Linked DNA regions of Tamandua tetradactyla. The protein of the gene in region 2 purifies or fractionates together with the protein of the main gene of each other region. This does not show direct contact. Links are inferred from orthologs where the notes say so. Each region holds a gene or a part of one and is shown on either strand. Other genes may lie near its edges.

The links. The genes of interacting proteins can lie anywhere in the genome.
Region 1: the proteins of POLR2E (region 2) and POLR3E purify together in Homo sapiens (affinity purification with mass spectrometry; 5 studies listed by BioGRID and IntAct, counting the BioPlex papers as one, with this or other methods). This does not show direct contact. The link is inferred for Tamandua tetradactyla from reciprocal best matches to the Homo sapiens genes POLR2E and POLR3E.
Region 3: the proteins of POLR2E (region 2) and CRCP purify together in Homo sapiens (affinity purification with mass spectrometry; 3 studies listed by BioGRID and IntAct, with this or other methods). This does not show direct contact. The link is inferred for Tamandua tetradactyla from reciprocal best matches to the Homo sapiens genes POLR2E and CRCP.
Region 4: the proteins of POLR2E (region 2) and protein POLR1D-like purify together in Homo sapiens (affinity purification with mass spectrometry; 4 studies listed by BioGRID and IntAct, with this or other methods). This does not show direct contact. The link is inferred for Tamandua tetradactyla from reciprocal best matches to the Homo sapiens genes POLR2E and POLR1D.

Annotation. Positions count from the first base shown.
Region 1 is NC_135349.1:34,964,886-34,972,617, reverse strand, and holds the start of POLR3E (DNA-directed RNA polymerase III subunit RPC5), read left to right. Parts: upstream 1-4,696; 5' UTR 4,697-4,848; intron 4,849-7,732. UniProt on the Homo sapiens protein: DNA-dependent RNA polymerase catalyzes the transcription of DNA into RNA using the four ribonucleoside triphosphates as substrates.
Region 2 is NC_135337.1:81,867,671-81,874,835, forward strand, and holds the start of POLR2E (DNA-directed RNA polymerases I, II, and III subunit RPABC1), read left to right. Parts: upstream 1-4,117; 5' UTR 4,118-4,292; intron 4,293-6,924; exon of another isoform or gene 6,925-6,987; 5' UTR 6,988-7,165. UniProt on the Homo sapiens protein: DNA-dependent RNA polymerase catalyzes the transcription of DNA into RNA using the four ribonucleoside triphosphates as substrates.
Region 3 is NC_135349.1:18,078,381-18,085,905, forward strand, and holds the start of CRCP (DNA-directed RNA polymerase III subunit RPC9), read right to left. Parts: upstream 3,037-7,525; 5' UTR 2,925-3,036; coding exon 2,917-2,924; intron 2,665-2,916; exon of another isoform or gene 2,571-2,664; intron 1-2,570. UniProt on the Homo sapiens protein: DNA-dependent RNA polymerase catalyzes the transcription of DNA into RNA using the four ribonucleoside triphosphates as substrates.
Region 4 is NC_135330.1:192,895,529-192,903,162, reverse strand, and holds the start of protein POLR1D-like, read right to left. Parts: upstream 3,037-7,634; 5' UTR 2,979-3,036; coding exon 2,962-2,978; intron 1-2,961.

The DNA.
Region 1 (7,732 bases), on a different chromosome or scaffold from region 2:
CACATGTCTGCTTGCCAGAGAAAGCCCCAGTTCTCACCCGTTGTCCAAGTCCTGCTTCCAAGTAAGCATTGTCATAGACTTAAACTGTGCTGGTTTGGATGATAATTATGATGGTCACCCTGCCAAGGTGACCTTTTGGTGATGCTTCTCATGCGGCACAGCCAGAGAAAATGGGCCAAAGATGAAGTTCAGTGAGGAGCATCCCCACCTTGTTAGATGCTATGCACACAACTAAGCCAGCTTCTCTCCTTTTTTTCTGTGCTAAGGGAAAGGGTCTCCTTAGCAAGAATGTGTTTTCTTTTGGGGAGGCCTAGTTTATCAGGTAGGTTCGTTGGTTGCAAATAATAGAACTGAATGCTGGCTAACTTTAGTAAAGAAGCAATTTTATGGCAGGAAGTAGGTCACAGAATGAAAGGTAAAATAATCAGGCTTTTGAAAGGGAGATACTGGGGCAAAATTGAGAGCTAAGAAGCAGAACAGTCCGGAAATTCCCTTCACGGTCCTGCTGTTGAGCTAAATCATTATTTGGTATACAGATTCAGATTCCCAGGATCAATCTTCCGATTGGGCTGTTTTAGGTATTGAGTGCATCTTTTAGTACTTTGATTGACAGTTCCTCCAGGACCACTGGGGAAGATTTGTCCCAAAGAGTATCAGAGTACTGGAACCAAAAAATGGAGGCATAGCTGCTGGGAAGGTCAAAATAACAGATACCCATCCTGAAAGAACATGCCCTTTGGAGTAGAGGAGAAGGGCCATACAGATTGGAGAAGAGTGTTAAAGTAAATTTTCCAGATAGTTAGGTAGCAAGCAGGTGTCAAAATTTTATTTCAGTCTCAGTGCACATGAAAAGACCTCTGGAATGCTAATTCAAAGATTCATTGGAAGGGACATTTTTTAAAATTACTTTTTATTAAGTTATCACGTACATAGAGTAAGTTGTACAATTTTTTTTTTTTTTTGGCATGGGCAGGTACCGGGAATCAAACCCGGCTCTCTGGCATGACAGGTGTATTAGTTAGGGTTCTCTAGTGAAACGGAATCAACAGGGAACACTTGCAAATATAAAATTTATAAAAGTGTCTCACATGACCGTGGGAACACAGAGTTCAAAATCCGCCGGACAGGCTATGAAGCCGACAATTCCGATGGAGGGTCTGGATGAACTCCACAGGAGAGGCTCACCAGCCAAAGCAGGAAGAGAGCCTGTCTCTTCTGAATCTCCTTAAAAGGCTTCCAGCGATTAGATTAAGCATGTCTCATTGCAGAAGACACTCCCTTGTCTGATTACAAATGGAATCAGCTGTGGATGCAGCTGACATGCTCATGATTTAATTCTATGACATGTCCTCATTGTAACAGACAGGCCAGCACTTGCTCAAACAGACAAACAGGTACCACCACTTGGCCAAGTTGACACATGAACCTGACCATGACAACAGGCAAGAACTCTGCCTGCTGAGTCACTGTGGCCTACCCTGTGCAATTAAAAGGGCATAGCATGATGAATTTTTATATATGTATACATCTGTGTACCAACAACCCAGATCAAGATACAGAACTTGAAAAATACATATATATTTACATTCATCTGTCTATCTACTTCCTCAACCTCCTTTCAAAGCAGTACATCCCATCCTACACCCCACCCGAGAGGTCCCCTGACCTCTATCTTGGTAGGAACATTAAATAGGAAAAGAGGGTAGTTAGATAATCATTGTTAGACAAGATACAAAATAAAAGAATGTTTGGTTAAAGGTCACTATGCTCCTGACTCACAGACAACAGTCAACCGGCTGGGTAGAAAACTAGTTTTTCTAGTACAAGTCTCAACACCATTAAATTTCATAAGAAAATCTCTGAGGCATTTTATCAGGAAAGCTAACTTTTTTCTCGAAAGACGTTCATGCAGAAAATTTGGTCTCAGACCAGGTGTGGGGTAATTTTCCTTTTACCTCTGTAAACGAATAAAGAATGGAGCAGATTCAGGACTGCGTCCCCACTCCCACTGCTTACATCCTAGGGCTTATGATGTGGAGAGGAACATCTTTACCTGGTGGCCTCTAGATTGAGGAGAGGTGAGGGCAAGTGGGCAGTTGTGGATCTGTGGTGCTTGTCCACTTCACCTGTCCCCAATAGCCTGGGGCAGAGAAGTGGACCCATCAAAGGATGGTCAGGGTTTCAGGCCTTGCTTTCTGTCCCCTCGGCATACAGCTGCTGGGACCCTGAGGCTCTGATGCAACCTTCTGTTTATACTGCTAATGAATTTACTTTCAATTGTCATATGACAGTTGTACGATGGGGCTGCGGGACTGCAAGAAACTCCCTAAAGGGGTTCCTGGGCTCTGCCTTCCACAAGCTCACTGCTAAGAAGTCTGCTCAGAATGTGTTAGCCAGATGGACCTGAATTGCTTTAGAATATTACGGCAGGAATATCTCAGCTTCACTGGAGTCCTTACCAATTGCTACACAAGGAGGATTCTTGGATTATCGTTGACAGATACCAGATGGCACTATTCTTTAGCAGAAAATGAAAAAGGGATTCTCCAAAATGGAAATTTTACTGGGCCTTTGGAAGGGTTTTTTGAGCTGGGAGCCAGAAATCCATGAGGATTTCTCTATGACTTCCTGTTGTTCTTCTCATTTTATCATCCTCTCTTTTTCTGTGTTTCGGCATTCTCTACTTCTCCAACTTCTGTCACAGAATAGGACCTCTCCAAATCCCCTTCTCCCTAGTTCCAGGCAGTCTCAGATGAACTCCTTAAGCATCAAGTTAACAAATCAGTAAGTCACTATGTCTCAATTCAAGATTATCAAAAAAGAATTTGACTGGTTTAATCTGAGACTGAAGTCCACCATAGAACCCACTCAGTGGTCATTGTTATGGGGTAGTGACACAGGACAAACGTGGCTGCCAGAGACCCACTCTCTGAGCTGGGGGGACAATTTCTAGAAAGTGGGACTGGACAGAGATTCCAGCAATTATCCTTCACTGGGGATAAATTTCCCAGACAACAACTCACAAACAAACACAATCCCTTCTGGCACTAAAATAGCACAACTATTTCAATGCTCCTATTGTTTTCAAGATCTCTTCCTCATTCAGCTTTGTATCCCGACCCCCCCATGCCTTTGCTTGTGTCCTCAATAGATGGTTGCTTCTGTGTTTTTCTTTGAATTTTTTTAAAAGCAACAAGCACTCCCAGCACAATACAATGTTTGCATATCATTACTTATATTAAAGGTAGATGGAGAAATATAAACTGGGCTAAGGTAGAAATTGGAAGAGAAGGAGAAATATGTTATATCCAAATAGTACTGGTGTTTGCGAACTGGATGTTAACCAGAAACTTTGATCACTGCCCTGAACAGTCTAATACAAGTCAACACAAAACTGGAATTCTATTTATGACAGTGTGCTCTCTATGACCTTCTAGGGAAGTGTACAAAGCATTACAATCGTTAGTGGAGTTGCTGCCTAATTTCATATATCGGTCTTGGGCTAAAGCATTGATTTGGCTCATTGCGTTAAGTCAACGGGTTGTGGCTGTCTTCCTAAATTCTAACAATTTAGGAAGTACTAAGTGGCCACTGCTAGGTAGTAATTACAATGACTGACATTTACCAGATCCTTACTGGTGTACCAGGCACTGTGCTATATATGCTTTACCCATCATCTTTGCTAATCTCCATTTTACAGAGGAGGAAATGGGCGCTTGGAGAAGTTCGAGAATTGACTCTTGCAGTTCCCTGTGCCTGGAATGCTTTTCTCTCTACTCTTCCCAAGGCTGGCACCTCAATGCTCAGCCTCTGTTGAATGGCACTTCCTTAGAGAGACCTTCCACTACCATCTCTTTGACCACCCCAACCATTCTATTTTAACACCTTGGTTTTTTTTTTCTTCACTGTACTCATCACTAGCTGAGAATCATGGTTACCTCAGCAGAGGGAACTAGGATGGGGGCCAAAAGTTAAAGGGCATTTGAATCTTCTCTGCAAGTTTTTAATATTTTGCAATAATTCATGTATTATTAATGTAACCAAAAATTAAGACAAAATTTTTTTGGAGCAACTGTCTAGATCAGCTCCCCGTTTTGGCCATCGGAGCCCCTGGTGAGGGTTACTAATTTCTCCAGGATCGATCTCTCCCAGAGACACAAAACTCGGGTCGTGTGGGCCACGTGGGGGTTGACCTGGGGTCGCCGGGTTAACCACCCAACTCAGAATACAGATCCTTAAGCTCCCTTCCGCCCTAAAACCTATTTGGAACGACTCTGGGTCTAAAAACTGAAGCAAATAAATTTTTAAAAACCCATGACGTGTTTTAAATAATTGTATCAGAGTCAGATAAGGCACGTATTAAGGAGGAACTCCAGTGAACCGCTACAAGTTCGTTAAGCAAATAGATAATCACTAAAGAGAGCCTTAAAAAAATAATTTACGCAACTGGGTAGCGTGGCCGAGCGGTCTAAGGCGCTGGATTAAGGCTCCAGTCTCTTCGGGGGCGTGGGTTCGAATCCCACCGCTGCCACAGTCGATCGCTTTTTCACCTCTCCGACTTTTGCACCTTGTTCTGTTTTGCCCACCCGCCAGCGCCCCCTGCAGCCAAGGCCGGGCTCTCAGCCCGCATGAATGGAGCGGCGGAGGGGGCGGGTCCGCGCGCTCCGGAGCGGGGCATTGTGGGTAAGAGGAAGCGCGGGGGCCGGCCCCGCTCCCCCCACGTGTCCGCCGGAGTTTCTCCACCAGAAACATGGCCGCTCCCTGAGAGAAGAACCGGGCCGCCGCCGCCTCTGCAGCCCGCGGGTACCTGAGCCGTTGCCGCCGCCCCTGCGCGGCTCCCGCGTAGAGGTGAGTCCTCGGGTTGCTGCTCCCGGGCCCAGGCTTAATCCTGGCCGCCTTCGTGGCTTGTGCCTGGTCTGGGCCCCTTAGTAGGCCAAGGAGGCCCGAACCGCGCCGGGCTGAAGGGCCGGAGTCCTCTCGGTACCCGGTAGGCAGAACGGACGGCTCGGCTCAGGAGACCCAGGTTAGTTGCGGGCTCTAACGCCCCAGCCCATCCTAGTAGTCGGGAAGGCCGCGTCCTAGGCTGTCGGCGGTGACTCAGGGTCCAGCCCCCTGCCCCACCCGGCCGGACCGGCCTCCTCCGGGAGCACCTGTCCGCAGGCAGCCGGTGTCCGGCAGGCGTTGGCGGCTGGTGGCCATGGCAGCGTTGGGGGCGGGAGAAGTACCGGGTGGCCAACCCTCATGGGCAGGTGGAGAGGGTACCCCGAGTTAGCCTGGCCTTTTTCCGGCTGCTGAACCCAGTTAGCCTCTGCCTGGCCAGGCCTGGAATACAGGCAACCGTTGAGTGTTTATTGAGAGCCAACTTTGTGATGCGGATACAGGTCAGAGGAAGTGTCAGTAAGCAAGCCAAGTCAACCAGTAAACAAACAAGGTCGTCAGATTTGAGGGCCGGAAGAATAGATCCTAGCAGTCGCCACAATTTTCTCGTGTGAAAAGGGAATAATAGAAAATTTCTACCATATAGGGCTGCGGTAAGGGCTAAATAGAGTAGGACGAGTGCAGCCCCTGCATCAGCACTTGATTTGTGGCTAAGTAGCAGAACCTCTCACACTGGGAGAAAACATGTTGCTGAGTAATAATGCTAAACCTTTCCATAGGTTACATCGATTATCTTATTAAATCCATGGCTGGATGAAAACAAAAACACCCGACGGACAGATGCTAATCTGCAGAGGTGGTACTTGAACCGGTGTGGTTCAGTTCCAAGGCCCAGGTTCTTACCCACTCCACTATCTGGCCTGTGGTTGAAGAAGGGTGTATTAAAGTTATTAAGAAAAATAGATCTTTGACATTAGCTCTTCTGGCTCTTCTGCCATGCTGTAGTGCTGTGACCTTGGGCAAGTTACTCTCTGAACCCTAGTTTCTTCATTTTCAAAAGTCTTGACTCAGGGCTGTTTAAGTGAAGAGACAATTAAATGAGAATGTATGTGAAGGCCTTAGAGAGTAAGCTCCACACAGTGAACATTTATGTAAGGGTTCATTATTTCTTTGCAGGTCAGCTAAATCTTCCTTTCACAAAGGGGAAACTGAGGTGACCCAGAAAGAGGAAATGCCTCATCCAAGGGGCACACACCCAGTTACAGTCCTTAAGATGCCAGGTCTTGCAATTGCTAGTCCCTGGGCTCTTTTCCCTTAATCCATTGTATTTTTGTCCTTTTCCTTTCCTTGCATTCTTTCCAGCGCCTAGAGATTATTTGGAGTTGCCTTTGATTTTCTGATTGGCTGACAGGTTAGATTCCTGGGTACAGTGTGGATGCACCAGTTGTGGCCTTCAAGTATCTCCTCTCTCTGGGCCTCTTCTCAGCTCAGCTTGGTTGCCCTTGCCCCGTTTCCAGTTGTTGAGCAGCTCCCTGTTGAGGGGAGAGTCCATTCTTTCCTGAGGCCAAACCCATGGAGCCCCTGCCACAGAGTGCCCTTGTGGCCACAGGACATCCTGATGAGCCCCAGGTAGTGATAGGTTTAGTACTGCTGGGGAGTTGGGCTTATGGCGGCTGCAAGTTCTGCCTCCCTCCCCACACTGGATCCATGGCTCTGGTCCTTAAGTGTCCGTGAGGCCCAAACCATGAGGCTGCCAGTCTCTGGATGGGGCTGAGTGGCACTCACTGCAATGAGGGTCTGTGGCTGCCTCGTTTCGCTCACTCATTCACTTCACGTAGTTATTCTTTGTACTATATTGTCTACTCTGTACCAGGCAATGTTTTCGGAGAACAGCAGTGAATAATAATAATAACTTAAAAATAATCTCCACAACTCAATGAAGTTAAGTATAATTATTATTTTCATCTAATAGTTGAGGGAATTGAAGCACTGAGAGGTCCTCTCGGGACTGACATTGTAGTGCAGAACACAGACGATGCTTAAGCAAATAGGCCAGGTAATTACTGATTGTCATAAGAACCACAAAAGAAATAAAACAGGGAGATGTGGAAGTAGGGTTGGAGAGTTATAGCTGATAAAAAGAAGCCAGACTTGCAAAGATCTGGAGGAAATAGATGGCTTGCAAAGGTCCTGAGGCATTCTGGGGCTTTGGCCTGTTTTTGGCTAAGTGCGTGGTGAGGGAAAGATGAGCACAATGCTGCAGTGAAAAGGACTTTAGATTTTATTCTACATGACAGTCAAAAGAAGGGGAATGAAGAGATTCCCCTTCTTTACCAGGACAACTTGCTCTTGTTGGGAGAATTGGAGATAAGAAAGAAGGGATTCAGGGAGACTTGTTGGGCCAGTACTTCTCAAATTGCAGGTCAGGATTTTTCAGGGATGTGAAATCATTTTAGGGATGTAACTAGCATTTTTATTTTTTAATAAACCAGGGCAGAAAACATCACTGCATCATGTATAGTAAGGACTAGTACAGTTATATGGAATTGTATTGCAGTTATGTAGTTGTGTGTCTGCTCTGGGTTTCTGATCCCAGATGTCTTTCTTCCTGTAGTGGTAAGCTGAGAACTTTGGAGCCGGCTGAGCTGGATGCTGGTGGCTGGAAGGGTGGAAGAGGTGAGAACCCTTGCGTGAACCCAGTCAGAGAGAGGAGTTTCAGCCCTCTAGCTCCTAGACCCCTCAGCCTCCCTGATCTCCTTAGTGACTGGGCTGAAGCCAGCAGGCAGACCAGTAGCTGACAGGGCCTGTCTTGGGATGTTCCCAGGCCACACCCTCTTTTTGCCTATGATTGGTT
Region 2 (7,165 bases):
TGCCCTCATCCAGCCCCCCGGCAGCCGGCCACTGCAGTGCCTTCCCAGAAGCCCTGATCCTCCGGGTTCTCAGGGTCCAGTGCCTGAGCAGCCCCCCAGACGCTGGCTGGTCCTGCAGGGGGGAGTACCCCTCAAGGCCTCACCTGGTAGGGACACTGCCCAGCTCACGACTTGGGGTGCAGGGGCTGAGGGGTCCACAACCTCTGTGCCTCTGGCCTCTCCATCCTCCCAGGCCTCGGACAGGGGGTCTGAGCAGGCTGCTTTAGGATCAAGAGCCCCTAGCTCTGCTCCTCCTCCCACCTTTGGAGGTCCCTGCCTCAAATTTCGTGAAACTGGGTGGTCCCAAGAGCTGGAAACTCAGGAAACCCCAGGTGCTCAGAGCCATCCCCCCAGCCTTGGCGTGGCTCATGGGGCAGCCCCCCTCCCCATTAATATATGCAACCCTCCATCTTCCTTCCCTTGCTCCCTAAATTATTGCTCGGCCACTGCCCCAGGACCCTGGGAGTCCACCTGGGGCAGCAGGGAGCAGTCCTCTGGTTTCTACGTGTATTTATAACTTGTGTATATATGTAAACAGATCTTTTTTTTAAATATATGTGCCTTTTGACTACTTCCCAAAGTCTGCTCGTCCTGCCTGCTGGTTTGTATTTGCTCCAAAGCAAGACAGGGACCAGCACAGCTAGAACAAGGCCCACCTAGAAATGCGGCTGAGAGTTATGGGCTCCCCTAGGGGTGAAACCAGCCCACCTTGACCTGGCCTACATCACACCCCCTGGCTCACGCCTACCTGAGGGACCATTGTTTACTGTGGTTGTGGTACCAGTTCTTAAGGCAGCTGCTACTGGCCAGCCTGTGTCAGGGCCCATTCACCTTGGCTTCAGGTACTGTGCCCCAGCAGCATCCAGGCTAGGGAGTTCTGCCTGGGACCCTCTTCCTTAGCTCCTCCTTTAGGCACAGACCACCTCTTGGGGACTCTGTACAGCCCCCAAGGGCAGATCCTCAACATGACTGCCAGCTCTTCAGGTCCCAGGCCATCCCTACCCCTCCTAAGAGGGACCCAGAGATAGCTGTACCTTTACAACAGTTCACTTTCCCCTGGATGGGACTAGATGGAGCCCAGAGGGTAGGCATGGGTACCCTGGGCTAATGCCTACACCACGAGATTGGCAAGTAGAGCAGCCTGGCTCACTGCCTAGACCAGCTTGGCCATCTAATGGGTTAAGGCCTCGTGCCTGGACAAGCAGCCCGTTGGGAGGAATTTCCAGGAACTGGCCATGCCCTGATGTCAACCCAGGACTGAGCTGCAGAAATCCCAATTCGAGCTGCCCCAGCAGGAATGGCCATGGGGCTCCCCCTGTGGATGCAGGAGGTCCAAGCAGGCCTGTTTGTAAATTTTATTCCCACAAGGCAGCCAGGGGTGGGGGCACCCTGCCACGCCGGCAGCCGGGTCCTTCCTCCAGCAGAGGTTGCACGCCAGGTTCTCAGGTCTGCCCCACCAGTGGGCTGGTTTGCAGGCAGGCCATCATGGGTGCTGGGTGGAAGGCTCCAGGACTGCAGGCAGGGGCACGGGTGGGGGACACGAAGATGGCACACACTTGTAGAACTAGAGATAACAGGGCAGGTCCTTCTCTATCACCTGTGGGAGAAGAGGGAGATCAGGACAGCTGATGGAGCACTCCTACCCACCCCCGGCTCCCTCAAACGGCACCTACCAGGGGCTCTTCCATGGGACCATATCGCTTCACCACACAGCCATTCTTGTCAATGAGGAACTGTGAGGGGTAGTCAGGGATGCAGATTCCTGCCTGCGAGGCCCCTCACTACCTGCTGTCCTATTTGTGCCAAGGTGGGGCCATGGGCCAGTGGGGGTGAGGCACGAAGGCTGTGGCTGATAGCCCAGGGGAGTTGGGCTGGATTGGGGGGATTAGAAGGGAAAGTAGAGGGCAGAAGTGGGAGTCTCCTCTTCCAGCTGGTGACCTCCTTACCTTAGTGAAGTTCCATTTTATGGCGCTGCAGAAAAGAGGCCCAAGGTCAGGAGGGCTCCCTAGAGGGGTTCAGCCCCCCACCCCCACCCCCGCAGCTGGGTGGGGAGCACTTACTTTCCCAGGATGCCCCTCCCCTTTGGCTGGATTTTCATCCACTTCCATAGCGGGTGGGCATCGTCCCCGTTCACGCAGATCTTGCTGAACATATCGAACTTGACGTTGTAGCCGGCTGCAAACTCTTTGATCTCCGCATTGCTTCCTGGCTCCTGCAGACAGCCAGGGCACTGGGAGTGGGGCAAGGGCCTGCCCCACCCCTCCCACACCATCGTCCTGCTGTCCTGAGTCCTGACCCGCACCTGGGTCCCAAACCTTCTACCCACTCCCAGTTGCCCTCCCCCTCCTGTCCTGTCCTCAGGGACCACGCACCTGCTTCCCAAACTGGTTGCAGGGGAAGGCCAGGATACGTAAACCACACTCAGCATATCGGGCGTGCAGGTCGACGAGCTGAGTGTAGTTTACGTCTGTCTTGCCTCATTGAGAGGCCACATTGGTGACGATGCACACGCAGCCCCTGGAGACGAGGGAAGCGTGGTCAGGGGGCGCTGGTGCTACCCTTCGGGGTGCCCCGTTTCCCTCCCTGGGCTGGCCGGCAAGCACGCACCGGTACTTGTCCAAGCACACCATGTGCCCATCGATGTCCTTGGCGGAGAACTCATGCATGGAGCGGGCACAGCGCCAGTCGTCCCGGGACGCGCACTGCGAGGCAAAGACACGCTGGGGGCCAGGCGCGGGGCAGCTACCCCACCGCGCACCTCCAGAGAACGGCCCTTCGCGCCCCAAGGAAGCCACGGCCCAGGACTAGAGGAAAGTGCCGCCCCCAACGGCCACGCCCCCTCCCCGCCCGCGGAGCGGGGTCCATTTTACAGAATTAACTGGGGCCGCAAGAGGGTCCGTGACCCTGCAAGGCTCCGGAATCACGCAAGGCTCCGGGATCCCGGCAGGCGCCGCCGGTCCCGGGCTCTCGCAGGGGGATCTCTTCCTCCGGGGGCGCGGTCTCCGGCGCCGACAGGCCCGGGTCTTCCGCCTGCCGGCCTTCCGCCTGCGGGGCTGTCGCCTGGGGCCTCTGCCCAACGACCTGCCCCGGCGGCTGCACCGCTTCCCGCGGCGGCCCCGGGAGCGGGCAGCTGCGCGGCCCATGCCCGCCCCTCTCCGCCCGCCTGTGCCCCAGCGCGCTGTGCGGGGGGCGGGAAAAGGGCCCGTAGCCAGGGCGCCCGGGGCCAGCGCTCTGTGACGTTGTCGCCCTGGGCCCCGGGGGGAGGGGCGCTGAGACGCGGCGCGTGACCCGAGTTTCCCTGCTCGATGGCCCCGCCCTCGAGGCCAAAGCCCGGGTGCGCAGAGGACTGGCCGCCCAGCCGATCCCGCTAGCCGCCTACACCCCCCCAGGCTTCCGGACACCGACGCCAACACTCCCACCCAGCCCTGGGACACTGTGTCCAGCCCACAGCCCATCCCCGAAGCCCAGGGAAACGAACCTGACCCTCCCACCGCACCCGTGCCTTCCCATCCCCAGCCGGCCTCCCCCACCCCCGATCCCGCACTGGCTACCTGCCCAACGCCCCAGACAGGCCCGGCGGCCGCGTACAAAGTGAATGGGTACGGTCCCCCGCTGCGCCCCCGGCCCGGGGCTGGTGGGAGGGGAGAAACGGACAGGAGCCCCCCCCCGGGGGGACGCCGCACCCCCGGCTCCCGGGCTCCCGCGAGCGGCCCAACGGCTCCCGGCTCCGGCCCTGCGTGCCTGCTCACCATGGTGCCGGCCAGGCCGGGAACTGCCAGCGCCCCGCACAGCAGCGCGGGTTTAAGCAGACGGCACAGGCGGCTAAGGCTCATCGCGGCGGTGGGGGCGCGGAGCGCGGCGGCTCCTCCCTTTGACCGACCGACCAATGGCCACGCGCCGGCGCCCCGCACCTTCCCGCCTTCGGCCACGCCCACCTACGCCCTCATTGGCGGGCCATGGATGCGTGCAACTGGTGACCAATGGTGGGGCGGGGGCGGTCTGCGGCTCTGTTGTCGGTAGCCACTGCGCATGCTCTCCTGGGTGGGTGGTTGAGTTCACGCCGCCGCGCGTCGGGATTGCGGGCGGTTGTGCGAGCGGCGGGAGGGAGAGAATGCCTCCCACTCTCCCCGAGGGCACGGGGTGGGGGGTGGGAAAGGTCGTCCAAACCGCCAGGAAGCGCGCCCAAATTCCCGGGAATACTCTCACGGTCACGCAGGTGTGCGCCCAGAAAAAAACACGCCGGAGTTCTCCAGGCATGTGACTTCCCATCCCCCACGTGGTTTGCGTATATTTCCAACACGGGGCAACTTCCTTTTAGCGCGTCCAAACAAGGCCCGGCCGTTGGACCACAGGGGCACGGCAGACCCACCACCTTTTGGGTCCCGTGAGTTATGCAGCACCCCCAACTCCCCTCCCCGCGTCACGGGACTGGCCCTTGGGAGAGTTTCTGCTTTCTGCCGTCTGGTGGCAGAGGCAAAGAAGGGAGGGTCACCAGGTCACCCGCTAATGTGGAACCTCATAAGGTCCATTTCTCAACACAGCCCTCCTCCGCGGGGTCAGTAGGGGCCTGCTTCTCTGAGTCTCTTGGCATGGTGGCCGTGGGCTCCGTGGGGCCCCCCTCACTTCCTAGGAACTCCCACCCAGTCCTCGCCGCCCTCGGAAGTGCCCAGTGCCCTGACCACACTGGGCTTGCCCTAAGGCTCAGATGTTCTCAGTTTTGCTTGGATCTGTAAACACCTTCCCCGAAAGGCTGATTTTTTTTTCAGTGTTGTCAAAAACACAGGGCGCCGCCCTCCTAGAGCCAGGGGCGGAGAGAGGAAAGATAGAAAGACCGCTGCACCCAGCCCTGGCCGCAGGCCATCACCTCCCCAAGGGGCCTGGGCGAGGTGGAAGCTGTGGGGTGGGGGTGGGAGGGGTTGGAGCCCAGCTGTACTCTGGCCAGAGGGTCGAGGTCTGTCCTGAGTTGCCACCAGTCTACAGGGCCTGTCCTATGACCTAGTTTTTTTGTAATCCTCTCGTTTTGAAATAAAATTCGCCATTTTAACTACGTATAACATGTCCAGTTCTGTGGATTTTAGTATATTCACAATGTTGTGCAACCTTCACCACTGTCTGGCTCCAGATCATTCTCATCACCCGAAAAAGGGGACCCCATGCCTGTCGGCTGCCACTCCCCAGCCCCACTCCAGACCCCAGTGACCTCAAATCTCCTTTCTGTCCGTGTGGGTTTGCCTGGCCAGGACGTTCCTTATCAGTTGGAATCAGACGAGCTTTGTGCTTTGTTCTTTGCTTCTTTCACTCTGCAGAATGTCTTCAGAGTCCAAGTGGGAACAAAAGGTGATACTTGTCCTTTTTATGGCCGAATAATAGCCCATTGTAGGGATCAGTCATATTTTGTCCATCTGCTGGTGGATATTGGGTTGTTTCCACTTTTTCCGCCATGACATCCTGCTGTGAACACGAGTCTGTGCGTGGACATGGGTTTTAATTTATCTCGGGGATTGCTGGGCCTCACAGGGTGCAACCCTCTGAGGAGCCCGCTTGCCCCCCCTCCTCCGTCTCCACCCCTTCCCTCCCCTGGCTTCCCCAAGGAACCCCGAGGCCACCTGGAACATGCACTCTCTAGCCAAGGCCACTGCTTCTTGGGCTTAGCCTTTGTCACCTGCATTTACCCTCATTCCTGAGTGCCCTTTCTCCCATTGCCAGCAGCTCTGTCTGCAGCTCCAGTCCCTTCACCCCTGCACACCTGCCCCAGCCCCTCCCTGCAGCTGCCTGGTCAAAGACACAAAGCAAGTCTCGACTTGGTGGCCGCCCCCTCCTCCCCTGCTTTCTGGGACACCTGGCAGCCTCCTCCTTCCCCTCCACCTTTATCCTACTTAGGAAGCTCTCGGCCATGCCTGCGTCCTGGGCACTGAGCGCAGTTATTGGCCGGCTCTCCAAGGAAGCAGGTGTTGGTCCAGTCCCTATTTTGTCTGGCGGGAGCACCCAGGCACTAGAGAGGTTAAGAAGTCACACAGCTAGGGCTGGAGCGCAGGCAGCTGCCCCAGGGTCTGGCCAGCCCCTCTGCCTTCTGCCGCCCCCGCTCCCGGTGCCAGGCCAGGATCTGTCGCCAAAGGCACAGCTAATGTTGGGGCATCCTGGGCATTGGGGGTGCTTATCAGGGTCTCTGGGCACCCCCTCCCCAGTCGTGACACCCACAGATATCTCCAGAAATCCCTAGGGGTCCTCTTCAGGACAGTTGCCACCATGATCTTCACCGTGAACTCCACAGATCCTCCTCCCTCCTTCCACCTCCCCTCAAAGTCCCACGGAGCCTCAAATTCCACTGCCCAAGACCCCTGTCCCCACCTACCCCCCCCCCATTATCCCATCTCCATCGGGGCCACCTCCATTCTCCCCGGCATGACCCCACGCTCCATCCATCTGCAAATACCATGGGCTCTGCCTTCAGGAGACACCAGGTCGCCCTCAGCTTACAGTTCCCCCAGTCCCTATCCCCACATCTGGCCGGTGGCCCCTTCCCACTATCACCCAGCCCCCAGCGCTGTCCCCAAAACAGCAGCTCCAAACATTGCAGTGGCTGAACAGAAAACCTGCACTTGACAACCAAACCGCAGACCTCCCTGGCTCTGCCCCCCTCAGCCCCGACCGTCCCTCCTTGTGGCCCCCCACCTCTTGCTGCCAACACACCGGGCAAGGCCCGGCCTTGGGTACGCTGGCCTGTACCCTTGGCCCGACACCCTGTCCCTAGACCCCAAGCTGCTCCCACCCAGTCCTGTTTCAGGGACTTGCTTAAACCTTTCTTCAGGGCCTTCCTTGAGGTCCCCACTTGACTCCGCAGCCCCCTCAAGTCTCCCTGACCCTGCCTTGCTTCTCTTTCTGCAGCCTCATCACTTTCTATTGTACATTCATTTATGTTTATGGCTCTGTGTCACCTTTTGCTGAAAGGAGAAATGGGGGAGACCTGGCCGGGACTGCTCCAGCCACTCCACAGTGGAGCCTGTTGAGATTTGGAAGAAAGAAGCACTGCACACCAGGTGATAAGTCCTCAGACCTTTACTTGGGAACTTACAGAGAGCTACCGTGACCTTGCCCCAGACAACAAGGTCACAAGAAGGTCACTGGA
Region 3 (7,525 bases), on a different chromosome or scaffold from region 2:
TCCATGGCCTAAAAACTGTTAACTTGCAACTTACTAAACTCCCCTTTTTAAAAGCCATTCTGTTTCTGGATATTGCATTCTGGCAGCTAGCAAACTAGAACATCCATGAATTGCTAGCTACAAAATTCTTGATTAGTTTCAGTAAGTCACTGACTCCTAGAGAGAAGTGAACAGGTTGTTACAAGACCATTTCACTTAGGAAAGTCAGAAAACCTAGCAACTAGGTAGATGATGGTCTTAATAACTGAGATATAAGCAGGTTGGGCTGGAGAGGAAACCATCAATATTTCTGTTTTGAAAATGTTAAGTCCGAGTTGCCTTTTCAACGTGTAAATGCAGATGCCAAATAAGTAGTGGAGAATTGGGGTTCAGAACTCAGGAGAAAGGGGCTAGAATTATAATTCGTAGATTCATCAGCAGAGGTAGGTACAATAGCCAAGAGACAGTATGTGGAGAGAAGGGTTCCCAGGATTGAGCTCTGAGATACCTCAACACTCAGAAGCCAACAAGAAGGGATGGGGGGAAAGGAGACTGAAAAGTAGTACCTGATGTAGAAGGAAATCCAAGAGAGCATGTCATAAAGCCAGTAAATATTTCTAGAAGAAACAGACACCCGTATCAACTGCTGCTGAGAGATCAAGAAAGTAAACAACAGAAAACCAATTTTTGGATTTGACAAACTGGAGGGCTTGGGTAATCATCACAAGAGCCATTTAAATGGAGTTAATGAGGTAAAAACAACAACAACAACAAAACAGAATGGTTTAGACAGTACAAAGGGATTGCCTAAACAACTATCATGAAGTTCTGTTACAACGCGAAATAGAAATGGAGCGTAAATGAATAAGAGACAAGGGATTCTATGCATCTATCTATCTCTTTATTTTTGGCATGGGCAGGCTCCCGGAATTGAACCTGGGTCTCGGGCTTGGCAGTCGAGAACTCTGCCACAAGGGACTTTATTTTTAAGATGGATAAATAGAAGTTTTTTATGCTGACAGGAAATTCTCCAGTCAATAGGGAGAAACTGATAATAATGGCTTGGATCACAGTCATACGTGTTTTTCAAGCTGCAGTTGTATCCCATTAATGGGTTACAAAACCAATTAGGTAAAAAAAAAATTAGGTTTCTTTTTCCTTCTTCCCATTATTTTTTTTATGAGAGCATGTGCCAGTTTGAAACTGTCATGTACCCCAGAAAAGCAATGCCCATTAATCCTTTTAATATTGCTGGGTGGGATCTTTTTATTGTTTCTATGCAGATGTGACCCACTCAATTGTGGGTGGTCACTTTTGATTAGATGGCTTCCATGGAGATGTATCTCCACCCATTCAAGGTGGGGTTGCTTACTGGAGTCCTTCAAGAGGTACCCATGTTGGAAAAAGCTTTAGAACAAACCGAGCCCACATAGCCAGAGACCTCTGGAGACATAAAGAAAACACCACCAGGGAAGCCACTGAAGAAGTCTGGGAAGAAAGCTAGTAGACCTTGCCACGTGCCTTTCCATCTGAGAAACTAGGAACTCAACAGCCTTCTTGTACCAAGGTATCTCTCCCTGGATGCCTTAGTTTGGACATTTTTATAACCTTGCCTTAATTTGAACATTTTTCATGGCCGTAGCACTGTACACTTGCAACTTGATAAATTCTCCTTTTTGACAGCCATTCCATTTCTGGTATATCACATTCTGACAGCTTTTACAAATTAAAACAGAGCAGTTACAGGTTTACAGAAAAATTATGGAGAAAGTAGAGTCCCACATACCTCCCTCCCATAGTTTTTCCTATTAACATTTTGCATTAGTGTGGTAACTGCTGCAACTGATGAACAAACATTATTATAAGTACACTATTAACTATAGCTATTGCTTGCAACAGGGGTCACTTTTTGCGTTGTACAGTTTCATGGTTGTTTTTTAATTTTTATTCTGGTAACATATATACAACCAAGTCAGCATTCTTTTCATGAAATAGAAGAGTCAGTGTCAGAGTGTACAGCATAGCATACAATAAAGGTAAACGTTGTTTCATGAAGCTTTTATTTCAGTTATATATACATCTTGTGTTAAAAGTCAAGATAAGATCAAATAAACTGGAAAAACTGCGGTATATATAACCATTAAACAAGTTACAGAACAAAGGAAACTGGGTGCTGTAAGGAACACAATATATGTGTACCTGCAAGTTAATGTCAACTAAGTAAAAATACACATGAAAAGTAAAAAAAAAAAAAAAAACACCTCCATTTGCACATGGTACTAGGAGTAAAAATGAGAAAAGACAATGTGGAGCTAAATCGTTAGAACAGCTCTTACTCTTTTCTCCCCTCCCCCCCCCCCCACCAGTGTTGTTTCTTCAGCCCCTTAACTGGTTCACGCACTCCCTTCTCCGCAGAATATACGCGCCTTCCTTCACAGGGCTAACTGCTCCTCATCACACTCACTGAGCACCTCTTCAGAGTTACGGTTCCCCCGAGTGGGAGCCTACTACCCCTAGGATCTATTTCAACACCTAACCGTCTCCCCTCCTGGTGGACTCACGGATTTATTCCTGAATCGCCGCTAACTTACCGGGCCGGGCTCCCCACTGGGACTTAGGAAACACGTGTAAATGACCGCAGGAGAGAGGAGACACGAATGAAAGACAGCCAGGCCCAATGGCATTCTGCTCATGTCCCAGGCATGGAGATGAGGAGGTGGGAAGGTGGGGAAGAAAGGTTCAGAGGAGCAAGTCTAAAGTCCCTTTCTTCCCCTCCTACCCAAACCCGACTGCCCCTTCTACGACTGGGCCGTCGCCCTCACCGCAAGCCGGGGAGGAGGGTCGCCCCATCTCCACGCCTCCCGGCTCCCCGCAGTGTAACCGTCCCCCACCCTTGGGCCCCCGCCCAAAGGCGGGAACGCATCCCGGGCGGCTTACACCTCCATGTTGCCTCCGCCTCGTCGTCTCTGGATACCGCAGGACAAGAAACCTCACACAGTTTCACCACTGCTGTTTCCGCCTTCCTCTCTGAGCCCGCAGGATCGCCGGCACAGCAAGCCGCGGTGCACGCCGGGATGGGCGCGCTGCACGCCGGGAGCCTGGAGGACTTTGCTGGGCCCTCCGCGCCGCCCGGTGCTCCTTTTCCCGAGGGGACTGTATTTTCTTCGTCCAGGCAGACTTCAGACTGTCCAGCGTTTGCAGAAATAACTTATCACGTTTTCTTGGCCTAGGTCCTATCAGAGTATTAATAAACTAAGATTCCAAAGAGTTGATAGAGTTGGTGGGCCTTTGCGGATTTAGAATCCCACCCCTCAGAGAGCAGTGATGATGGGGACGGGCCGAGGGGACTTGTGGCTGCTGGAGTTACTTTCTTTCTTGATGTGGGTGCTGGTTATATGGGATGTTATAATTGAATAAAATGTTTTTAAAGATGGAGAAAAAAAAAGCCCTTCTCCCTGTTCCCTTTCTTCCTTGAGAGCTATTTCACAAAAAATTTATGAAGAGCTTTAACTAAAGGAACAGCCTCTGACTTTGGGCCTTTCTGGGAATTTGGGAAAAGGGAATTATCGGATTCCCTAAATAAAGAAGCAAGTGTAGTGATTTTTTGCTGAGAAATAACATAAATGCTCACGATGTAGAATCGAGAAATAATATGTTTCTGCCGTATAGTATGGTGTATTCAGCCAAGAAAAATCGTGTTGCAGAATGATGCTGGAAAAATGCTCAAGATAGGATTTCTAAAAGATGCAAATGATATGATATGATCCTGATTATCTAAAGAAAATAATGTATGAGTTAAAAAATACCCGGGATATGGAAGGCAGAGCTACCTGATCTGCAAGATTTTATGTCTTTGAAAGAACAGGGTTGGGAGAGTGGGTGTCAATTTCATTATTTCCTGTTATTTTTTAGTATGCTTGAAATATTTCTTAAAGCAGGAGGGAAATATGACAAAATATTAACAGTGGCAGATGCCTTTGCCTTTGAGGCAATTGCTGGGGGTGGTTTCTGCTTTTTAAGTCTTTCATGTTCTATTAGTTTTCATTTACCAAGTTCATTCTCTTTGCCAAGCCCTAAGTAAGCACTTTTTACACCATGAGATTGACAGTGAATGGTGCTGACCTGGCAGTCGGCCAGCCTTGTTCCTATTTACCATCATGGCTTTCCTAGAAGCTGTTTGACTTTGTGGAAATGACTTAACCTCCCTCCACCATAATTCCCTAGTCTGTAAATTAGAGATCTGTTATGTCATCTTTATAAAGTGCCTGGCACATAGTAAGTGCTCATCAAATATTAACTATTACAACAGTACTCTGAGTTACAGTCCATTATTATTCACATTTTACAATTGAGGAAACTGAGGCAAAGCTTTGGAGAAGTTATGACTTAACCCAATGTCATTCACCTGGGAACTTGCCCCACAGAGATCCAAACCCAGATAATACAAACAAATGCAGGAGGCATATTAAATTGTTAATAGTGGCTGATGAATAGATAAATAAAATGTGGAATATTCATACAATGGAATATCATTTGGCAATGAAAGGGAATGAAGTACTGATACATATTACAGCATAGATGACCCTCAGAAATATGTTAAGTGAAAGAAGTCAGACACAAAAGACCATGCATCATATGATTCCTTATATGAAATGTCCAGAATAGGCAAATCTATAGACAGGAAATAGATTATCAGTTGCTGGGAGCTAGGAAGCCGGGAGCAGGGTGGGGTGGAGGTTCTGCAGGCAGGAAGTGAGGTGCAGAATGGGAACTGACAGCTAATGGGTACGGGTTTTTTTTTTTTTTTTTTTAGGGGAGATGAAAATGTTCTAAAATTAGATTATAGCGATAGCTGCACAACCCTGTAAATATACTAAAAAAACATTGGATTGCACACTTTGCATGGGTGAATTGTATGGTATGTGAATTTTACCCCAGTAAAGCTGGTTGAAAAATATTAATAGAGACAGCAGGATGTTCGGCTTCTGAGCGGGGACCTTTGTATCATGTGCTAAGAGAGTGAATTCAAAATGGGTGAATTTGAGAAGGGCAAGAAGATTTTTGTTCAGAAGTGTGCCCAGTGCCACACCGTGGAAGAGGGAGGGAAACACAAGACTGGGCCAAATCTGCATGGTCTCTAGGCGGAAGACAGGTCAGGCGCCTGGATTCTCTTACACAGATGCCAACAAGAAGAAAGGCATCACTTGGGAAGAGGAGACACTGTTGGAGTATTTGGAGAATCCCAAGAAGTATATCCCTGGAAGAAAAATGATCTTTGCTGGCAGTAAGAAGATGGCAGAAAGGGCAGGCTTGATAGCTTATCTCAAAGCTACTAATGAGTAATAATTGGCCACTGCATTATTTATTATAAGATAGGTGGGACTTTTTTACATGTATCATATCTGAATTGATCTCACACACCAGAATTCAGATCATGAATAGCTGATAGTATATTTTTATTGGACAGCCCTGAGTTAAATAAGATTAGCTTATAGTTAAATGAATGTGATCAAGCTTTTTAAATTGATATAATTCTGGTTTCAGCAAGTGCTATCACTATTTCCCCTTTCTAAAGATATAACTGGACTGAGGCTAAGTGAATTAGTAATGCTCAGCTTTTCACAGAGATGGTGAATACCAGTTCAATCTACTGGAGATTGGTTTTAAATTTAAATTTATATGATTGGTGTTATGAATATACTTGAATACTAGGAAATCTCTTCATTGTCACAGAATAGAGCAAGACTCATCTGGGTTTCAATTGGTGTCCTCAGCCTGTTTAAAGGCAGGTGCTAAAAATAAGGTAGCTATGTCCACTTTATCTTTTTGATCTTAACTGTGTCAATCTAATTAAAAGTCCCTGAATTTCAATATTTGAAATGTTGCCTTTTAATTAACAAAAGGCATTTTGGTGTCGTTTATGTATAAAACCCAATAAAGAATGCTGAATGTGTGAATGTGTGAAACCTTCTCACATTTTATAGATAATCTATAAAGTTGAATGTTTTCAAAAGTCAGTGTGACAAGTTAAATTTTGCTTTTTCATTCTTTATTATCTTAAATCAGACCAAGTTACAATTCAGGTCGTCTTTAAACTGCTATTCAAAACCACATAAAATTGTAGAGACACTGAATTACGTGTGTTTGGTCACGATGCTTTTGCCAACTCGTAAGGATTTAGATAGAGAAGATAGACCATCAGTACGAGTTAGTAAATTTTGTTATCATAAGTCTTAAGATGATTAAAAAAACACAAAGACAAAAAGAAAATATTATGAATAGTGGAAGGAAAGTGTGGAGGCTTTTTAACATTTAACTTTATACATTCTGTTGTTTAAAATTTTTCAATGAATGTGTTATGTTTATAATTAAAATTTTTTAAATAACTAATGTTACTGTTACTTACAACGCAGGGCTAGACGGTGCCCAGAATGAAAGAGGAAAGAGACTGGGATCAGGGGACCTAACTTCTCAGAGAAGTTCAGGCAAGTTTATTTAGGGCTGTACTTCTTTTTATACCCTAGATATGCATGTGAAAAGCTTTGTTCTATTTTCTAATGTTACTTTATGTTGCTTACCACTTTTGGCAATGTCAGCTAGTTCTTGCTAGACTAAGCAATCTTGCTTTGTGTCTTTTAGCAACACCTGCTGTATTAAAAACATCCTTTTCTTTCAAGTTCAGCCAGACTGTTTATCTTTGAACCTTGGGGCAGACTCCCTGGTCTTTACTTCTGCCTTTTAACCCTTTCCAAGCTGTTTTTCCATCAAACTCATTTACTTTAAAAATCACCAGGGGAATGGAATGCCACCCCAGGCCCAACTGGCCTGACTTGTGTCCTCTGTATCTCCCCTGTGAGAAAAGCAGTCCCAACCGGCAGCGCCAAAGAGGCTCCTTGTGTTATTCCTTCAGCAAACACATAAGTGGCCCATGCGATGCTGAGGATATAAATGTGAATTATACAAGGCCCACTCGAGAAACCACATCTGATGTCAACAACAATCTACTGTGTTGAGATGCGATAGAGCAGAGGTGGGAATGACTAATGAGGTGGAGAGGCGTCCCGAAGCCAGAGGCTTTTGAGTTGGGACTTGAGGTTAAGAAGGATCCTGCAAGGCTAGAGCTGTGGGGTGGGGCTTGCTATGGAAGAGGGGCTAGAGCCCCTGAGGACCCACCCCACAATAAAATGACCCAGGCCCAGGTTCTCCAAGGGAAGCCACCTTAAGTCTGAGGAGGCCATGTGCAGTTGTCACCAAACACTATTCTGTGGGTGCAGCCGAATGGTCAGGAGTGCAGTCCTTTCCCCAGGGAAATCAGTTTGCAGGCTGCCGAGGAAGATCAGGCCTAATGAGATAACACAGCTGGCAAAGCTGGGTTGGACTCTGGACCCCCCTTCCAGGCTCCTGAGCTGTGCTGAGAGCTCTTCCTGGACTCTCTGGGGGCCAGTCAATGGTTCAAGCTCCTGCTTGCTCTAGCCCCACGCAGGACTTCCCTGCAGTTTTCCTTAATTGGGGCTGCCTAGAGAGTCTCTGTTCCTTTTCCTCAAAA
Region 4 (7,634 bases), on a different chromosome or scaffold from region 2:
GAGGAAACATCCTGGAGAAATGACAGAGCTGAAGGAGAGCCTATGTAGATGTTTGGAGATCAAGAAAGATATAGCCTGGAGTGCTAAGCAAGAACTCACAGAAATAGCCAAATACTGAAGAGAAGAAATCTCCGGCCTCTGCAGATGCTAAGCTAAGAGATGAAACCCAGAGTTTGTCCCGGAGGAGCTAAGTGAAGGCCCACAGACGCTTACAGAGGAAACCACTGGCATCAGAAGCCGGAAGCAGCAGAACCGGTAACAAGGACCAGCAGACACAAGCCACATGCCTTCCCAGATCGCCCTTCCTCGAGTCAAGGAATCTTGCCTTAGTTAGGACATATTTATGGCCTTATAACGATAAGCTTATAACTTATTAAATGTCCTTTTTAAAAGCCATTCCATTTCTGGTATCTTGTATTCCAATAGCTTAACAAACTAATACACTGAGGTATAATTTACATAGAACAAAATTCATCCTTTTAAGTGAACTGTTTCATGAGTTTTGACAAATATATATAGTCATGTGACCATCACTGCAATCAAGATAGAGAAATTTCCCTTACCCTCAAAAGTTCTGCAGTCAATCCATCCATCCCTTCCTCCCACCCCCACTTCCTGGAAACCATTGGTCTGTTTTCTGTTCCTATAGTTTTGCCTTTTCTGGAACGTCATATAAATGGAATCATATACTGTGTCATTTTTTGTGTCTGGCTTCTTTTACTTAGCATGATGCTTATGAGATTCATCCATGCAGTGTTTATCAGTAGCTCTGTTCCTTTTTATTGCTGAGTAGCACTGAATTTATGGATATATTCAGAATTTGTTTATCCACTCACCAGCTGATGGACATTTGAGTTGCTTCCAATTTGGAGCTATTATGAATAAGCTGCTATGAACATTATTGTATGGATTTTGGGTGGATTTAAATTTTCAATTCTCTTTGGTAAATGCTAAGAATTCTGGGTTGTAGACTTATCAGAAACAGCCAGCTATTTTCCAAAATGGCTGTATGATTTTAAAATTCCATCAGCCATGTGTGAGAGTTCTAGTTGTTCCACATCCCAACCTTAATTTTATTTTAGCCATTCTATAGTGTGTATGTAGTGGTAATTTATTGTGGTTCTAATTTGCATTTTCCTGATAACTAATGATCTTTTCATATGCTTATAGGCCAATCTTATATCTTCTTTGATGAAGTGTCTGTTCAAATCTTATGACCATTTAAAAAATGGATTGTTTTCCTTCTTTTTATTGAGTTAAGAATTCAAATGATGATAACCATATTTTACATGCCTTCTATATTTATTAACTGCAATTCTTCTATAAAGAAGCTTCTTTCATCAACTATTTGCTAACTTGAGATACAATTTGTTCAGAAACAGGACAAATGTTTGATTTTTCTTCTTTATTTATCAATTTTGTGAATAATGATTTGGTTCCCTAGCTTCCTCTAAAAGGGGATCACTAAGTTCACTGCTTTGGTGATCATTTTGACCTCACAGATTTTAACAGAGTTTAAGTGTTTGAACTTTTAAAGCTATTATTTTTGATGATCAAATAACCCCATCTTTGACCAGTGGATGACTTTTCAAGCTGGCTCCTGAGTTCTTCTGACCTGACTACAATTGTCTTTGATAGTTTCTTTGCTCTTTGCTGTGTTAAGATTTTCTAGCTCCTCTTGTATGTTTCTTACCTCAATCTGGAATCAGTTATTTTTGTAAGGATTATTATTGCCTTTTAGTGAAAAATGGTATTTACAGACCACAATCTGGATGTAGGGGAGCTCCCTACTACTGAGCAGTTCATTGTTTCTAGGACTTTTCCATAAACACAGCTAGAAAAAGCTTTTCTCTGTTTTAAGGAAAAAAATCTAACATGTCTTCCTACTGACATTTCCAATTCAAATTTAGGACTATAGGTTTTTACTCAGATTTTGCTTTTGTATCTATTTTCTCTCACACTGAAAAGCTTGGTGCCTGAAAACATTGGCATATTTACTTATTTGCTTTATCCTACTATAATATACTTTCAGAATAACAATACCAATATTATTACAAACAATAAGAAGACTGAAAACAATTTACAATGTCTTTGTAGTTCTTTGTCTTCAGGAAATAAAGTAAAAATTGCTGTGTTTTTGGATCAGTGGAAATAGTTCCTCTACGTATGGTTAAGCCATCCACTACACTTATTCAGGTTCATTTGTTTTAATTTGCTCAACTTTTATGGACTGCCTTTTCCCTCCATTTTGAGTTAATTTTATTTTATGTTTTATGTGCATGGTTTCTAAAAGCCAAATCTAAAAAAGAGGCACATTCCGAGGTCTAGTTTCTACTCCTACCCCATTTTTACATTTTATTTTTTTAATAGCCCAGGGTATTCCACTGAAGTAACATTTAAAATTGTAGTTAAAAGATGTATAATCAACATAATCACTGACTGTAGTGCATAAAAGAGTATACATCATTCTTAAGGTTAAATCCTTTGCTTATATTATTAAGTTTTAAGACACTCTATTTTGTACAGAAACTTGCAAAGGTAAACTTTAGTCCATGTGGCTGAAATGTCATATATTCAAAATACTTACAGTTAGAATTAATTTTTAAAAAATAAAATACAAATTCACTTTAATTTACTAAAAACTATAATCAAAGCAGAAATTCTTCAACAATGAAGACTAAAAATATTACTTTCACACAGGTGTCACTGGGCATGGTGGTACCTACACATCCCTTGGGGATGTGCAAATCAAAGGGATGATGAAACTCATATTCTCCACCACTTCTTCCTGCTCTTAAGTTCCTGGGCACTGGGCCCTTTGCAGTTTAACTGCTCGACCACTTGCCTCTGGATGATTTCCTCTGTATACACTCTAGTCACATTTAATACATATTTATATCTCCAGCCAAGATGCTGTATTTTAACATTTTAAGTTTTAAGGAGGATTATTCGAAAACTTACCACCCCATAGGTCCCATTGTTTCTGCTCTGGTTTTCCCACGTTTTGCCTCCTTAAGCAGTTCTTCTATTGCTTTCCTGGTGGAAAAAAGGGAAGAAATTTGAGAGGTAGCCACCCCACTAAAATTTGTGAATCAATTAATTTCATTTATACACTGTTGGGAAAGGAACAGTCATTGGGGCAAGATGGCTGGGGCAGAAATTTGTAAAAACGACTGACAGTTTTGAACACATAAAATTTTACAAAATCCCTTTCTATATGAAGGGGGAAAACTGAAAATGAAGTTAAAGAGAAAATGAGAACTGGAAAAATATTTGCAATATGAGGCAGTTAAATCATACATCCTTTTAAGAATTCTGTCTCTTTACTTATTAATTAAAAAAAATAACCAAAAGACATGTATGGCCAAATATATTCACATTCATATTAAAAATGTCAAAATTCACTGCTATTCTAAGAAATATGAATTAACCCCACAATGATAAATCTGCTTCTCCCCATTGGTCAGTGAGGGAGGAGGAAAATGGATAAGTCATTCTCTACTTGTGAGGACTTAAGCAAATACAACATTTCTGGAGGACAATTTGGCAAGGTGACATAAAGCCTTAAAAACAGTACGTACCTATTGATTTAAAAATTCACTCTATCCTAAGGAATTATTCAAATAAGTACGCAAAATTATTTGTACAAAGATGCTCATTAAACCATTTGCTAACAATTAAAAAAAAAAGAACAGAAAGCCTAAATGTTTATTAATAAAGGATTGCTTAAATAAATTGTGGCATATCCATAAGTAGAAAATTAGCTAGTCATTAAAATGAAGATGAATGAATGCTTGGCACAGAAAGATTTTCATAACATATAAAGTATAAAAGGCTGGTAAAAACACAGTGTGTAAAAGATAATTCTATCTCATAATAATGACTAAATGTAAAAATTGAAAAATCTTTTTGCATGAGGAAAAACAAAGGAATGTGGATATTGCAGGGCGCTGAAAATAGATGGTCATCTACATTTTAAAACTTCAACTTCTGTGTGAGACTAAAGGAAGAAATGTTTATTTGGTATAAAATTTATATTTTGACTACTGCATTTCCTAATTTAACTTATATGGATAGTTTAATTGAACACCATAAATACACTGAATCCTGAATAGGGCATGAGATTTTGTAGGTTTGTCCGGGTTAATGTGATGCCCCAATAAACCCAGAGTGATTAAAACAGTGAATAAAAAAGTATTTGCAAAGTCCCCTTGGGGGAATGGGGAGAAAGGGGGAAAATTCAACTTCCCCATGTGCAGAATTCCTGATACTCTTGCAAGAAGTGGGGACAACCAAATCAACAGGCCGAGCCCTCAATTCTGGGGTTTGTTGCTATGAAACTTATTCCTGCAAAGGACAGGCTAACCCTACTTAAAATTAGGCCTAAGAGTCACCCCCAGAGAACCTCTTCTGTTGCTCAGATGTGGTTTCTCTCTCTCTCTCTCAGCCAACATGATAAGCAAACTCACTGCCTTCCCCCTCTCTACATGGGGCATGACTCCCAGGGGTGTTAAACCTCCCAGCAACATGCGACAGAAATCCTAGAATGAGCTGGGACTCAGCATTAAGGCATTAAGAACACCATCTCAACCGGAAGGGTGAAGAGAGAAATGAGATAAAATAAAGTGTCAGTGGCTGAGAGATTTCAAACAGAGTTGAGAGGTTATCCTGGAGGTTATTCTTACGCATTATATAGATATTCCCTTTTTAGTTTAAGGTGTATTAGAGTGGCTAGAGCGAAGTGCCTGAAACTGTAGAGCTGTGTTTCAGTAGCCGTGTTTCTTGAAGATGATTGTATAACGATATAACTTTTGCTATGTGACTGTGCGATTGTGAAAACTTTGTATTTGACGCTCCTTTTATCTGTGGTAGGAACAGATGGGTAAAAAATATGGATTAAAAAATAAACAAATAATAGGGGAAACAAATGTTAAAATAAATTGAGTAGATTGAAATAATAGTGATCAATGAAAGGGAGTGGTAAAGGGTATAGAAAAAAAATTGGCGGAACAAAGGTTAAAATATATTGGGTAAACGGAAATATTAGTGGTCAATGAGAGGGAGGGGTAAGGGATATGGTATGTATGAGTATTTTTTCTTTTTATTTCTTTTTCTGGAGAGATGCAAATTTCTAAGAAATGATCATGGTGATGAATATACAACTATATGATGATACCGGGAGCCACTGATTGTACACAAAGCATGGACTGTTCATGTGTTAAGAATGTTTGTGTTTGTATGTTGTTTTGTCAATAAAAATATTTTAAAAAGATAACTGTATCTTAAATTTATTTATGTGTATTTATTACATAGGAAAACATGTGGAGGGATATTAGGAAAATGATAAGATGAATTCTGGGGTGATTTTTGCTTGTTTGTTGCTTTTTTTCTAGAATGAACATGTATTACCTTAAAACAAGGTAAAGGAGAAGAGAAAATTTATTCGTCAGGCATATTTTGAGACTTTAAGATACCATGCTAAGTGTTATGGGTAATAATGGGAAAATAATGGTTCCTGAGTTTAGTATTACTTATGATATATGTAGAAAATGAAGTTAAGAATCAGAGAAGTATTAGTTTGAAACAAATACAGTCCAAAAGACAGAAATATAAATATATCAGAAAGTTTTGAAAATGGGTAATTAGATAGATTCTCTATAAAGCATTTATTTATACTATTATAGTATATTATAGATACTATTTACGTAATCCCAAATGATATTAACATTCTATAGTTTTTTTAAATGCTATATTTTACCAAAGCATGCACACAACTTAAGAAAAATATTATTTAAAGGCATAAAAAAGTTTTCTTCATCATCATTCCTACTTGCCAACATAATACAAACCCAATACAGAGAACTCCAACATTTGCCTTACCATTTTATCTATCCATCCATCTGCCTGCCTATCTATTTATTCATCAATTCATTTTCTGAACACTTGAGTATAAGCTGTATACATCATACTCCTTGAACACTTTAATACTGCCATGTATATTTCCTAAGAACAAGGATATTCATTTAAATGCCGGTATCAAGTTCAAGAAATTAAACATTTTTAAAATTATTTATTTGTATTGATATACAGTATATATTCATATACTATGTAATCCTCCAAAGTATACAATCAATGGTTCACAATATCATCATATAACTGTGCATTTATCATTATAACCAACTTTTTTTCTTTTTTGTGAACAATAACATACACAAAAAATCAATAAATTTCAAAGCACATTGCAACAATTAGTTGTAGAACAGATTTCAGAGTTTGGTATGGGTTACAATTCCACAATTTTAGGTTTTTACTTCTAGCTGCTCCAAGACACTGGAGACTAAAACAAATATCAATATAATGACTCAGTAATCATACTCATTTATTTAAACCCTACATACTCTGTATAACTTTACCATCACCTTTGATCTTTCTCCCACTCTTTAGGGGTATTTGGGCTATGCTTGTTCTAACTTTTTCATGTTGGAAGGGGCTATCGATAATATGGGGTAGGGGGACGGAACTAGCTGATGTTCTAGAGAGGCTGGCCCCTCTGCATTTCAGGACTTAGCTGGTCCAGGGACCCATCTGGAGGATATAGGTCTCTGGAAAGTTACCCTAGTGCATTGAATCTTTGTAGAATCTTAATGCGCTAGAGTTCCTTAAGATTGGCAGGAATGTTTTGCCTTTAGGTAGCAATGTCTAACTGAGGTTTGTTTAAGAGTAGTCTCCAGAGTAGTCTCTCGGCTTTACTTGAACTCTCCCAGCCACTGTTACACTTTTTCCCCCCTTTTTGTATGGATGGTATTGTTGATCCCACGGTGCCAGGGCCAGGTTCATCCCTGGGAGTCATCTCCCCTGCCCCAGGGAGACTTTCACCCTTGGATGTCATGTCCCATGTAGGGCGGAGGGCAATGATTTTACTTGCAGGGTTAGGCTTAGAAAGAGAAAGGCCACACTGAGTAACAAAAGAGGTTCTCCAAAAGTAACTCTCAGCCATACCTATAGGCAGGCTAAACTTCTCCGCTCTATATATACATAAGCTTCACAAGAGGAAGTTACCTGATCAAGGGCTTGGCCTATTGATTTGAGTGTTCCTAATGTTTGACACAGTATCAGGGGTTCCCCCATTGGTAAAATTTAATAGTTACATATTTTAAGAAGTTTAACATTGATATAAAGCTGACAGTCTACATTCTAACTTTTTTTATAGGTCTCAATGTTTTTTTGAGCCTTTTCTCCTTTCTTTATTAGATCCCATCCTGGATCATATACTGTATTTATATGTCATTGTCTCTTCAGTTGCTTTTTTTTCCATTCTGGGAACAGATATACAACACTTCCCATCTCAACCCCTCCCAAGTATACAATTCAGTGGGATTACTCACATTCACAGTGCTGTAGAGCCCTCATGACCTTCCATTCCTAAAACTCTCCTATCTCTTCAACAGAAACCTTATACCATTATGCATTAGCAATCTGTTCTTCCTACCTCCACCCCTGGCAATCTATATTCTACTCTCTATCTCTATGAACTTGCATATTTTCTGACATGTTCTTGATAGTTATTGTGAGGCTTAAGTTCAACATCCTAAATTTGTAACAATCTTGTTTGCCTTGACACCAACTTAATGTCA